Mus musculus: one gene and its partner. The protein of the gene in region 2 interacts with the protein of the main gene of each other region in a pairwise test. Links are inferred from orthologs where the notes say so. Each region holds a gene or a part of one and is shown on either strand. Other genes may lie near its edges.

Region 1 (5,674 bases), on a different chromosome or scaffold from region 2:
GATGCAACATGGAGGCTGGCACTTCAGTTTCCAATTGATATTCCTACATGCCTGGTGCAGTTATCTGCTATCAACAGATACTAAAATATATGCTAGATGAATTAAATTACTTTATTTAAATGCCTTTATAAGGTATTAGTTTATTCCACTTAAACAGATGTTGGCATAACCGGCTTTGTGAACTGAGCTCTTCAATGAAAATCTTTTTTTTTTAAATTTTAAAACTAAGTCTTACTGTCTTCTGTGATAATAAACACGTGATTCTAGATATAAAAAAGACCCAAGAATTTGGTTTCTAAGGTCCAATAATTTTCTTCATGAATTAGGTCCAAACAGTTAAGTAAGCTGGCACTGACCAAAGCACTACTTGGTGACAGAGCTTAATTAGTATTTATAACGTCACTTGAGCATTCCAGCTCAGAACCTGTTCCTAAATTCTGACAACATCACTAATACCTATTTTAAGAAAATTATTCTGGCTGAAGCAACAGTCTGGACTCCTTAGAATTTCTGGCTCTCTTGTTTGACCTTTTCCTCCATTCTTTATAGACACTGGGCCAGTTTTATGTTTGCCTTTTGTGGTATTATAGTTTTATAGAAAGACTTTTAAAATGTTCTTAGCTGAACAAGGCTTCAAAATATAGCACTACTATATTAACAAAACATTTTCTGTAACTAATACAAATTACCACACTTTATTATTTAATTAGATATTTTCTTCATTTACAATTCAAATGCTATCCCAAAAGTCCCCTATACCCTCCCCCCGCCCTGCTCCCCTACCCACCCACTCCCGCTTCCTGGCCCTGGCCTTCCCCTGTACTGGGGCATATGATCTTCTCAAGACCAAGGGCCTCTCCTCCCTATGATGGCCGACTAGGCCATCCTCTGCTACATATGCAGCTAGAGACATGAGTTCTGGGGGTACTGGTTAGTTCATATTGTTGTTCTCCCTATAGGGTTGCAGACCCCTTCAGCTCCTTGGTCCTTTCTCTAGCTCCTCCATTGGGGGCCCTGTGTTCCATACTATAGATGACTGTGAGCATCCACTTCTGTATTTGCCAGGCACTGGCAAAGCCTCACAGGAGACAGCTATATCAGGCTCCTTTCAGCAAAATCTTGCTGGCATATGTAATAGTGTCTGCTTTTGGTGGCTGATTATGGGATGGACCCCGGAAATTATCACACTTTAAAGAGATTTTCAATGTTTAAAGGATTAATAATTTTTTAGAAAAACAGTACCCCTTTACTAGCTAACTAAGCATTTCTGGACTAAACCTAGGGACCATGTTAGACTACTGTACTGCCAAACCAAGAGAAAATAAGTGTGTATAGAACAAAAACAAAAACAATTTGATCAACCTTAAATCTTAAATTTGGTGATGACTCACCTTTATTTTACAGGCATGCGTGGGAGAATCCAATTTTAGGTATTTTTTGTATAACAAGATCTTTTCATGTTCACTAAAATAAAAGAATTCATTTTTAACAGCCATTGGTTGTAAACATTAACATATACTTAAGAACAAATGATTCGGGACACTCCTTCATCTCAGAGATTCCCTTTTCCTGGTCAGGTACAGGGAGTAATGGGCTCCTGCCTGCGCTGCACCGCGTGGAGGAGCAGTACCTACCACTTGCCAGCTATATGGGGGACTGAACGAGGGAGCACATGGCATACTTTAACGCTCTATAAACACTACTATTCTTTCCAACACAGGCAGGACCTAGAGCATGCATTATGTTCAGGACAGATCTGGGCAGAACCCTGTACAAGACTGGGGGGAAAAAAAAATCACAAACTGTCCATCTTTTAATAGGTCAGTAAATAGGCTGCCGTGACAGTCTTAGTTTGATATATCAATCACAAGGAGCCTTCTAGAAGGGAAGAGAGTCAGTTTCAGAATGTCTAATGGTTGTTAAACAGATCCTGCTGAGATACGTGAGAACAAGAATGCTTACCTGGACTGCATTCTAATAAAGCTCTTCCACTAATTACCAGTGACCCGCCAACTCACTTCCAGTTAACTAGCCCGAAATCTCCATATTTTTAAGCTTGCTCATCAACCCTGCCGTTGGAAGGCTTAGTGGTCTAACCTATGTCTATTGGCATGTTTTTAACTTCTCTTCCCTAATGACTCCTGTCCTGTCAGTCTCAGAAAATCCACAAACATTACGAGCTGAGAATAAAGACACTGATTCATATGAACACTTTCATCTAGACAAGTCACAAACCTGTCATCCAGGACAGTGCAGGCAGTCTTGCCTCGACTGGTTCCACAATACTCCTCTCCTAAGTATACTTCCATGTTTCTTGCTGAACTCAGAACGCCAACCGAAAGGATTTCTTCACCCCCATTAGGGCCACAGTTCAGGTAAATGAAGCAGGGGTTTTCATCTCGGGGGCTCAGGCTGCTTTTCAGACTAACCGGATCCTGGCTGAGAAGAAAATTGAAAAAAAAAAATCACAGAGATAAGTTTTCCGAGTAGAAGCATAACCCATTAATCCTTTCAAACTCACCTCTACTTGCCATGAGAACCAAGAACCTTCCCCATCACCCACAGATACTTCTCACAGAATTAATAAGGAACAGAGGTTTGAGGCGTCAGGGCATTCATTCCCGTCCACTTTTCCTAGACCGTGGACAGCCTATTCAACTATCTAATTCATTCGCAGTCAATTAAAAGCGTTTACTGAATGTTAAAACAACCATGTGTCTTTTTCCAAGACGCCGTGGTTCTTGTTCCCCCCAAATAGAAGACTGGGGGCGTTCGCGGGTGGGGGGCGAGGAGGATTGTAACAGGAGGGCATCTTGAACACGAGTTTCCCGGCCTCTCCGGCCCAGCGCGCACCCTTTGCCCGCAGCCTCGCCCACCTCCAGGCACCACCGCTCTCCCCCATGCCGTCCCCGCGGCCTCGCTCGGCTCCCTCGCCCGTCTCGGCTCCCGTCCTCCTCCCGGCTCCTCAGCAGCGTGACTGTCACCCGACCCCGGCCCTGGCCCGGCGCACCTCGGAGCTGGCGGCTCCAGTAGCTGCTCGAAGTCCAAGTCTTGGGCACGTGGCCCAGTCCGGGTAAGAAAAAGGCTTTGGGTCAGCGCCCCGCACGCCGCATCCCAGGACGAGGTCAGCGTCGGGCCGCGGTCCAGTCCCGCGTCTTCGATCGCGGTCTCCATTCTGTCTCCTCCAACCCAGGCGGCGTCGGAACCTCTCTCGCAGAGCTTGCGTTTCCTTCAGTGCCCAGGGGAGGTGAAGGTTCAGCACAACTTCCGGTTCTTCCCCCGACCCCACCCCATCCCACTCCAACCCTTCCCATCCCGGGACCCAACCACCACACGTGCGCATGCGTGTTCGTCTCCCTTCCAGAAGTTGGTTTAAAATCTCCGCGGAAAAGAGCCAGGGGTTGGCTCGTGCGCGGAATTCCTCCGCTCCTGGGGCAGGTGCCGCGCGCATGCGCAGTGCTCTGCGCGCGGGAACCCAGGGGTTTATTTCCACGTTGGCAAAGCAGCGACGCTTTAGGGTGGGAGGTGGGGTGGCGCCTGGGCGGTGTCGGCACCCTGAGGGTGGTACCAAAGCAGATAGGTGCGGTCTCCTTGGCTCAAGCAGCCTGTAAAGCCAGCTCCCAATCCGAGGTCCTCGGAAGAGGACTCCGGGGACCCTTCCTGCGCCAGCCCGTGGAGTGAAGGCCATGCAGGCTGCTTTTGAAGCAGTGCGACCACGGCTGATCGCGTTGTTTCACTGCTCAGGTCACCTCCGTGGGCTGTAGAGTGGAGCGCGGCGCTTAGCATTGCAGAATAATGCTGAGTGGCCGAAGGCACTAAACACTGAACCCACTAAGACCCGGCTTCCGAGCCTCAGGAACCCGGTGGAGCGTGCTTGCACGTCCTAAATGACAGAATTCTCAAGGTTAAAAATGTCCAAGAGGCTCAAAGCTGCGACTTAAGGTTTCTCACTCATAACCTTGACAAAAACTGGCAATGGGCCTTGGTCCCTTCAGAAGTACATTGTACGGTCAAACTTTCTGTGGTGACAAGTGGGACTTGAAACTTTATACTCATTGGAAAGAAAGCTAGGTATCGGCTGTCGTTCCACCCCATACCCACCCCCATTATCTTCCTGAAGTGGGTTGTGTAGATAATTTAAACATCTATTGAGGCGAGGGGAGAAATTTGTTTACAGAAATGTGGAGTACCTGAATTTTAAAGTTGTGCTTGAGGCCTTATATATAATTTCTGGGGAAGTTTTGTTCAGCCATAACCTAGTTTTGTCCCAGAACTTTTTGTTCATCGCTCAGAAAAAACGTTTTGCTTTAATTTTCATTTTAGTCTGTATGTGTACCCCTGTTCAAAAAACGTGTTTATGTCATCAAGAAAAAGATGATTGAATTCTATAGACAGTCACCAGAGTGTATGTATAATGTGTTCATCAAGTTTGAAAGAGAAATCAGAGATTCAGTATAAACAAAATCTAGAAACAGTAACCTTTAATTCTAAAAGGCTCAATTTATATTTTTAAAAGAAATTCCCCACATTCTAAGTGGTCATCATTCTTGTTCTGTTTAGTATGGGGAGCCCCCTCAGAGTGCACAACCAATTGAAAGTCTTTATTCTAGGTATAGCCCCTGAGTGTCCAGAACATGGGATTTTAAGAGACCTTAAAGCGAAGGCATCTCCCTTGGCTGCTGCATCAGAGCACTACGGAGTAAGCAGTTTTAACAGAAGCTAAGATGAGCTGTTAGCCAGCCACCAAGGAGGGTTCTGAACAAATGAGCAACTTAGAAGAACAGTTAGCTGGAGGAGGTTCCGCACAAACAAGCAGTTTCAACAAAGGCTAAGATACGTTATCTTGGCCATTCTGACCTTTGGTTCCTAGAGTGGAGTTGAGTAGTTTTCCATAGGATTCTCCAGCTCAAGGAGATCAGATTCAGGGTAAACCTGAAACCGGCCGGTGGCAAGAAGGCCTTTGCAGTGTCTTGCCCTGTTACTCTGTATTTCCGGCTCCTCTGGTTATAAACTAGGTTAATACGTGTAGACAGTCCTAATGGAAGTACACTCTAGAAACACTAACTTGCAGGTTTGCGTGCAAGATTAATAATACCTTGCGGGTTTTTACTTCCTTAAATAAGGCTGATGAATCAGAAGACTAAAGGCACCTATCATAAAAGACTCCTGCCAATAAATCACCGTTTCTCCATCCTCTCAAAAGCTCTTATCTTCATCTCTGCTTGTCATGTGTTGAGGCGTTAGCTTCATCTGAACTGTTCTGGGAGTTTCTCAGCCAACATCTTGCGCCTGTTCTCATTACCGCCATATCCTCTGCTCTGCCCTCTATCCCTTGTAATGATTGTTGCTGATGGCTGGACCAACATGACCTTTACATCTTAGCATTCAAAGCCTGGTGAACTCAATCTCCTCCCCCTAGAATACTATCCCTTTTCAATAGTTTTGGAGGAAAAGAACAACCTCTCATTCACAGCCAAGCTTAAACCCGTACTATAGAATGGAAGCGATTCCTCGGCTACATCGCACTGTTTGAAGCCCTATAATTCCCTTGCAGTTCCAGTCGTAGCCAGTTTCCGTAGTTGTTTTCCCTACTGACTGCATGCTTGCTGGCATAAGGAACCATTCTGCACTCGTGAAAAATGGTTCTACCTTGTGGATTAATAAATTGGTGAGA
Region 2 (5,561 bases):
AGGACACAGCACACAACAGAAGTTGGACTGCTCTCCTCCTCACTCTCTAGCCCTCACTTATCAGAAACAACTGTCCCAACAGCACACTACCCAAGTTCCCAAGACTTTAAAGTGAAAACCATAGTTTTGCATACCTTAAAGTATAATCCCAAACAGGGCACAAGTATTTTCATTAAAATTGGCCAAACTCCTTAAAGCTGAGTAAACTAACCTTTAAGAAAATTCTGGGGGGGGTGGGGGGGGAGGGAATCGGTCTTCATTTAAACTATTTCCACGGTAGATTAGAGTCTACTTCCAGGTGGCATGCTCTTCTAGTCTTCCTAAGCATCTATTACTGCTTTCTCTTTGAAACCAAAACCTTCTTAAGAATCCTACTATTCAACTCAGCAACACATTGCATGTCTGTGTTTATGGATCAAAGAGAGAAGAACGGGGTGGAAAGATTTGTAAATGAAAATTAAAAGTATCCAAATGCTCAACAAAATGTGTCAATTGCAAAATGCTTAATATGCCAGGAACTGAAAATTGCAGGCAGTGGGGTTTTGTTGTTTTGTCCTTTGAGACAGGGTTTTGCTGGCTGGCACTGAACTTTCTGAGTTCTGCAGCCTAGAATTTGTTCAGAATCTGCAACTCAACAAAAATTCCTTCATCACATAAAATATCAAAATTATGTGATATAGTTCCAAGCCTTGATGACAGATCTTCATCTAAACAAATGCACAAAGGGATATGAAAATAAATAGCAATTTTTTATTTGCAACATTCTCATAAAAAGTTTAAAATAAATTAATTTAGAGTTTGCTGTTAACTTTCACAAGTGAACTCTACACTCCTTACTTCCCAGTTCTCCTAAATGCTTTAGAAAGTTGTTTTCTAAGCAGAATGGCAGAGGCTGGGCAATCAAAGACTTAAGATGACAACTGGAATAATCCTTACACTGTATGTTTGTTTGTTAAAAGAGAGGGAATAAAAGTCTGAGATCAGAAGATACATTATCCTTTCGGCACACCTGACTCTATCTACTAGAGTGGGATCCTACCAGCCAAAGCCTAAAGTGTAATGAGGTCCTCCAGAAAATAAGCATCCGAGATCTTCAAGTGTATCTGTAAAGCTATTTTATAAATATTCAAAATCTTTAAATTTTGGAAAACAGTTTCAAATATTTGCAGAAATTGCTACTCACATGCCACACCTGCATTAAATCTGTTTTTAATTAGTGACAAGTTTGGATTCCAGTCTGTAAGACCATTCAACAATTCTGGTCTTGAGTTTAATAGAAATGAAAAACTATTACTCAAATCACCAGCAACGGTCATGTCATCAGCAGTTGTCTTTGCTTCTTTTGTGTAAGGTTTATACACATATTTGCAGAAAGCTATTTCTGGTAACTTCAGTGTGGCCAAGTGTTAATCCCAAAGATGGGAGAAGAAAAAACAGCAACCCAAATCATGGTCAAATTAATTAAAGCAAGCAATTAATTAAAGCTAGATTTTTTTCTGTTGTTAGTGTACACAGGCTGCCTCCCTCTTAACTCAGCCTGAAGAGCCCACTGTCCACTAACATCCAGAACAGTGCTTTCCTAACACTTTATATTCTTAACAGAGGAAACTCAAGCTTGAATTGAGAACAAAAATTAACTTCTCTGTCAGCATTGTCACTTGACATTTTTCAGACCTTTACAAAATAGAGATCTTATTGCCAAAATCAGATGAATTATTTGAAAACTAGTGATGACTGAAGAAAATGTATTCAAGTCATTTAATGGGCAAAGAAGTCCTAAAGTAAAATAATTCGTTAATGTTAGCAACACGGTAAAGTCTATAAAGAAATATTTAATTATTTTACTTGGTGCTAAATTTTAGTTAACCCTCTTTATTATCAAACATCTTTTATGTATATCAATGAAGAAAAGTAAATCAGATTGCCTTCAATGATAAAGCACTCAATAAGTTACCAATATTTGAACTGGATCACTGCACCTCCCCCTCATGAAATTAGCCCTTCAGAAGATGCAGCTGAAAGCAGATTTCTTTATGGGGATACTTGAGGGAAAGTAAATTAATATGAATAAATTATGATGTCAAAGAGTCGGGACAAGTGAACCAGGAAAATCAGCAGTTCAGAAGAAGCGTAATTCAGCGAAGCCCTCCAACAGTCACCTGCCTAGGCCAACTGCTGGCAGGTTGCCAGGTTAGACAATGGTGTATTGACTCCAGGATAAGGTGCAGTGGGGGGCGGAGGGGGGACGCCCCAGACTATTAAAAAGGAGCCAGTTACAGATCAACTTGTTAGGTACTGACACAGAGCAGGTATGCACTTAAACCCGGCTCTGATGAATTCCACGCAGTCCTGTGAGACATACTCCTGCCGTAATCCCACAACTACCTGCTAAATTCCAAAAGGCCATAAATAACCTCTAAATAACTCTCCCTACCTGCAAGAATCAAAGTGAGCCTAAGAGCTACACTAACCCTCTGAAGAAACCAAGAAAGGAAAAATATGCGCGTTCCCCTTGGGACCTTGACCCCAGGCACCGAGACTGACACCGCCCCTTGCCGCCCCTCTATCTTCTTTCTGTTCCTTCAGTGAGTGTGACCTTCGGTTCCTTATAGATTCAGGGAAGGCAAGCCACGAGCCACTGCTACCCTAACCCCAAGGTGCCTTTCTCAGTGGTGAGCTGCAGAGGGAGGATGCAGCTCCTCCCCAACCCACCCGCCACACAATTCCTGGGTGCAGACTCGATGTAGAAATGGGAATAGACCAAGGGAAGGTGACAGCCCCGCGTCGCTCAGGGTTAACGAGAAATCTTGCTCTGGGAGAAACGCGCGAGAAGCTCCCCCACCTAGCCCCTACCCAAATGAATGAACTGAGTAAAATGGGAAGGGGGGTCTGGTATGCGCAGTTCTTGCAATCCAGGAAGCAGAATAAGAGGTCGTCAGACGTAAGGCCTGGCCTCGCCGCCCTTTGCACTCCGATTCGTCATTTCCATCCTAGTCTCATATCATTTAACCCTTTAAGCTTTTAAGACACTGTCCTTCCTCCACCTATGCCAAATACCGACACCCCCCACTCCCCTTCTCTCGATCCCTTTCGGGCCAGGCCGCTAGCTTCTTCCTTCCCACGACCCTCGAAAAGTCCCTCAGCAGCCCCGACTCACACGTACCTGGAGATGCTCCTGAAAGCGAATGGGCAGAATCTGGGCCATGGCGCTGTCGGGGAGTATGGTCTCCTCCTGTCACTGGGGCTGCAGGGCAGTGCCTGCCCGGGCTCTCCAAGGGAGAGGAGGAGACGGGGAAGGGGAGGGGAGGCTGGGCTCAGAGGGATACTCTCCGGGGACGCAGGGAACTGGCAGGCAGACGAGAGAGCTTGGGTCGGGGGCGGAGGCTCCAGGGGCCGGGAGAGCCGCAATGGCGGAACCGGGAGCAGCGCAGACTCCGGAAACGGCTGAGCCCTGCGGAAGGATCCCGAGGCAGAACTCCGCCCAGTCTCCTCACGCCGTCCGCCTTATGTAGCCTTCCACAGACGCCGCGCCGCGGTCGGGCGTAGGGATTCAGGGACGCAGTGCGCGGAGCGCTCTTCGCTGATGCGGCTGCGGGGAAACAGAGGAACCGAGGGACTACTTTTTCTAGACTCATCACTTTCCCCAGGCTCCGGTTTCTCCCTTCTCCCCTCCCCCCTCCCACTTTTTTTTTTTTTTAACATTTTGCCACATCATGCGACTCGGGGCGAACTACGTCATTTCCGTAGGCGCTGTAAGACCCACCCACGCACTTCCCGGTGCACGTGATGCGGGTAGGGAAGGGTCGGTTGAAGGCTGCCAGAGTGGAGGGCGAGAGGCAAGATACTGGCCGCTGCTCCTGGGGAGGAGGTGGCGGTTGAGCCCCCTGCCGGCGTGGCGGCCTGGGCGTGAGGACACCGAGTGCCTGAGGAGAAGGCCGCGGCGTGGGTGCCGCGGTGACTAAGGGAAACGGCCCCGCCGCAGAGCTCCTCGGGCGGCTGGCTGCGGCGCGCCTCCCCCGCCTGGTTTCGCGCAGTGGGTGGTTGCTGACACCTCAGGGAGGGGGACCGTACTGAGCTGCAAGCTTCCTTGCCCTGACGCACGCCCTTCTGACGCCAGGAGAGCCGGATGGCTCCTCGAGATCCTCAGATAAACCATCTCAAAGGACAGGGAAGGCCATGGGAGAAGAATCTCCTGCTGGCCCCTGGAGAGCGCTTCCGCGGACATTTTGGTGGACTTAGATCAGCCTAGTGTAGAGATCAGTTTGGCCTTCGAGAACTGGAGGGTTCGGCCACAGGAAAAAGCTTAAAAGATGTAGATCAAAGGATGGCTAGGGAAAGAAACCTCAGGGGCTGTCTTGGAGCTGAGGGATTGACTGTTAGTCATACATGGTAGTAGGACCATTACCTGTAGTTACAGGGTGGGCGATGTAATAAGCCCTTCAAAACCGGAGCACCTTGCCTTCCTACAGCAGTAAGCTATCTGCAGCATTCATTAGCGATTAATAGCCGCCCCAGAGCTCTTGCTAAAGTGTAAGGTGTAATGTCTCACAATAGCACCAATATAAGGAAGATTTAGAGAGTTCATTTCCACATAGTTCGTCTTAATCCCCCTGAAAGTTCTTGAGGAAATTACTTTCAATGCCCCTTTCAACCTAAAGAACATAAGACAACCACTGGGTGTACAATAATTTTGCGTAAGCGGTTTTGCTTAGAGAAATCTGCTTAGTCATTTCAGTTGCGTTTAGTATTCCCCCCAAATACTGCCTTTCATATCTGGGCTGAGAGGAGAACCAGGCAAGTGAGAAGGCAGACAACAGACCCTTGAAGAAGAGCCTTGCCACCATATTTAGGATGTTTTGTGTTTACATAATTTCACTTAAGCACTTGAATGTGCCCTGTCCTGCAATGTTTGAAAAGATTGTTTTCATAAGACTTTGTCCTTTTCTAGAGGTGGGCAAATTTTAAATTAAAATCCTAAGGGAGTTACTGTTTTATTACAGAAATGTCAGTAGCTTAATAGAATTGCACTTTCAATCTCAGAATTTGGGATGTAAGAGCTTCACCATGAACAGATCACCACATTTCAATTTATTGACAAGGGCCTTGTATTTTCATACAGACCCTGCATGAAAGGACATTTCAAATCCCCAGAGCAGTTGATTTTACTTCCTTGGTGTGGAATACCTAACCAAAAAGTGCGCTGAGACTGCTTTGTCATCACACATAGAAATTTCAAGAATGAGTTGTTTTCAGAAATCATTTAGAAAGAAGAAAAGTAGATGGTGATATCCCAAATCATTCTGCTTATTAATAGGACTGCTGCCTTGCCTGCCAGATTCTCCTCTCAGCCTAAATATGAAAGGCAGTATTGGAGAAAAACAGTAAAAGCAACTAAAATGACTAAGCAGATTTCACTCAGCAAAGGCACCTTAAACAGTTAATGCCCCCCCCCCTTTTTTTTTCCAAGAGAAAAATAGTGTAAATGATAATGCTACCCAATGCTGGGGACACTGTGGTGCTCACCTGTGATCCTCACACTGGAGGGTTCTGAGGCAGGAAGA

What was found.
Region 1: the proteins of Cltc (region 2) and 2310057M21Rik interact in binary tests that used the Homo sapiens proteins (3 or more experiments, as listed by UniProt). The link is inferred for Mus musculus from reciprocal best matches to the Homo sapiens genes CLTC and C10orf88.

The regions. Positions count from the first base shown.
Region 1 is NC_000073.6:131,359,498-131,365,171, forward strand, and holds the start of 2310057M21Rik (ATPase PAAT), read right to left. Parts: upstream 3,230-5,674; 5' UTR 3,175-3,229; coding exon 3,011-3,174; intron 2,440-3,010; coding exon 2,236-2,439; intron 1,465-2,235; coding exon 1,392-1,464; intron 1-1,391. UniProt on the Homo sapiens protein: ATPase that regulates mitochondrial ABC transporters ABCB7, ABCB8/MITOSUR and ABCB10. Regulates mitochondrial ferric concentration and heme biosynthesis and plays a role in the maintenance of mitochondrial homeostasis and cell survival.
Region 2 is NC_000077.6:86,754,085-86,759,645, forward strand, and holds the start of Cltc (clathrin heavy chain 1), read right to left. Parts: upstream 3,484-5,561; 5' UTR 3,206-3,483; coding exon 3,164-3,205; intron 1-3,163. UniProt on the Homo sapiens protein: Clathrin is the major protein of the polyhedral coat of coated pits and vesicles. Two different adapter protein complexes link the clathrin lattice either to the plasma membrane or to the trans-Golgi network.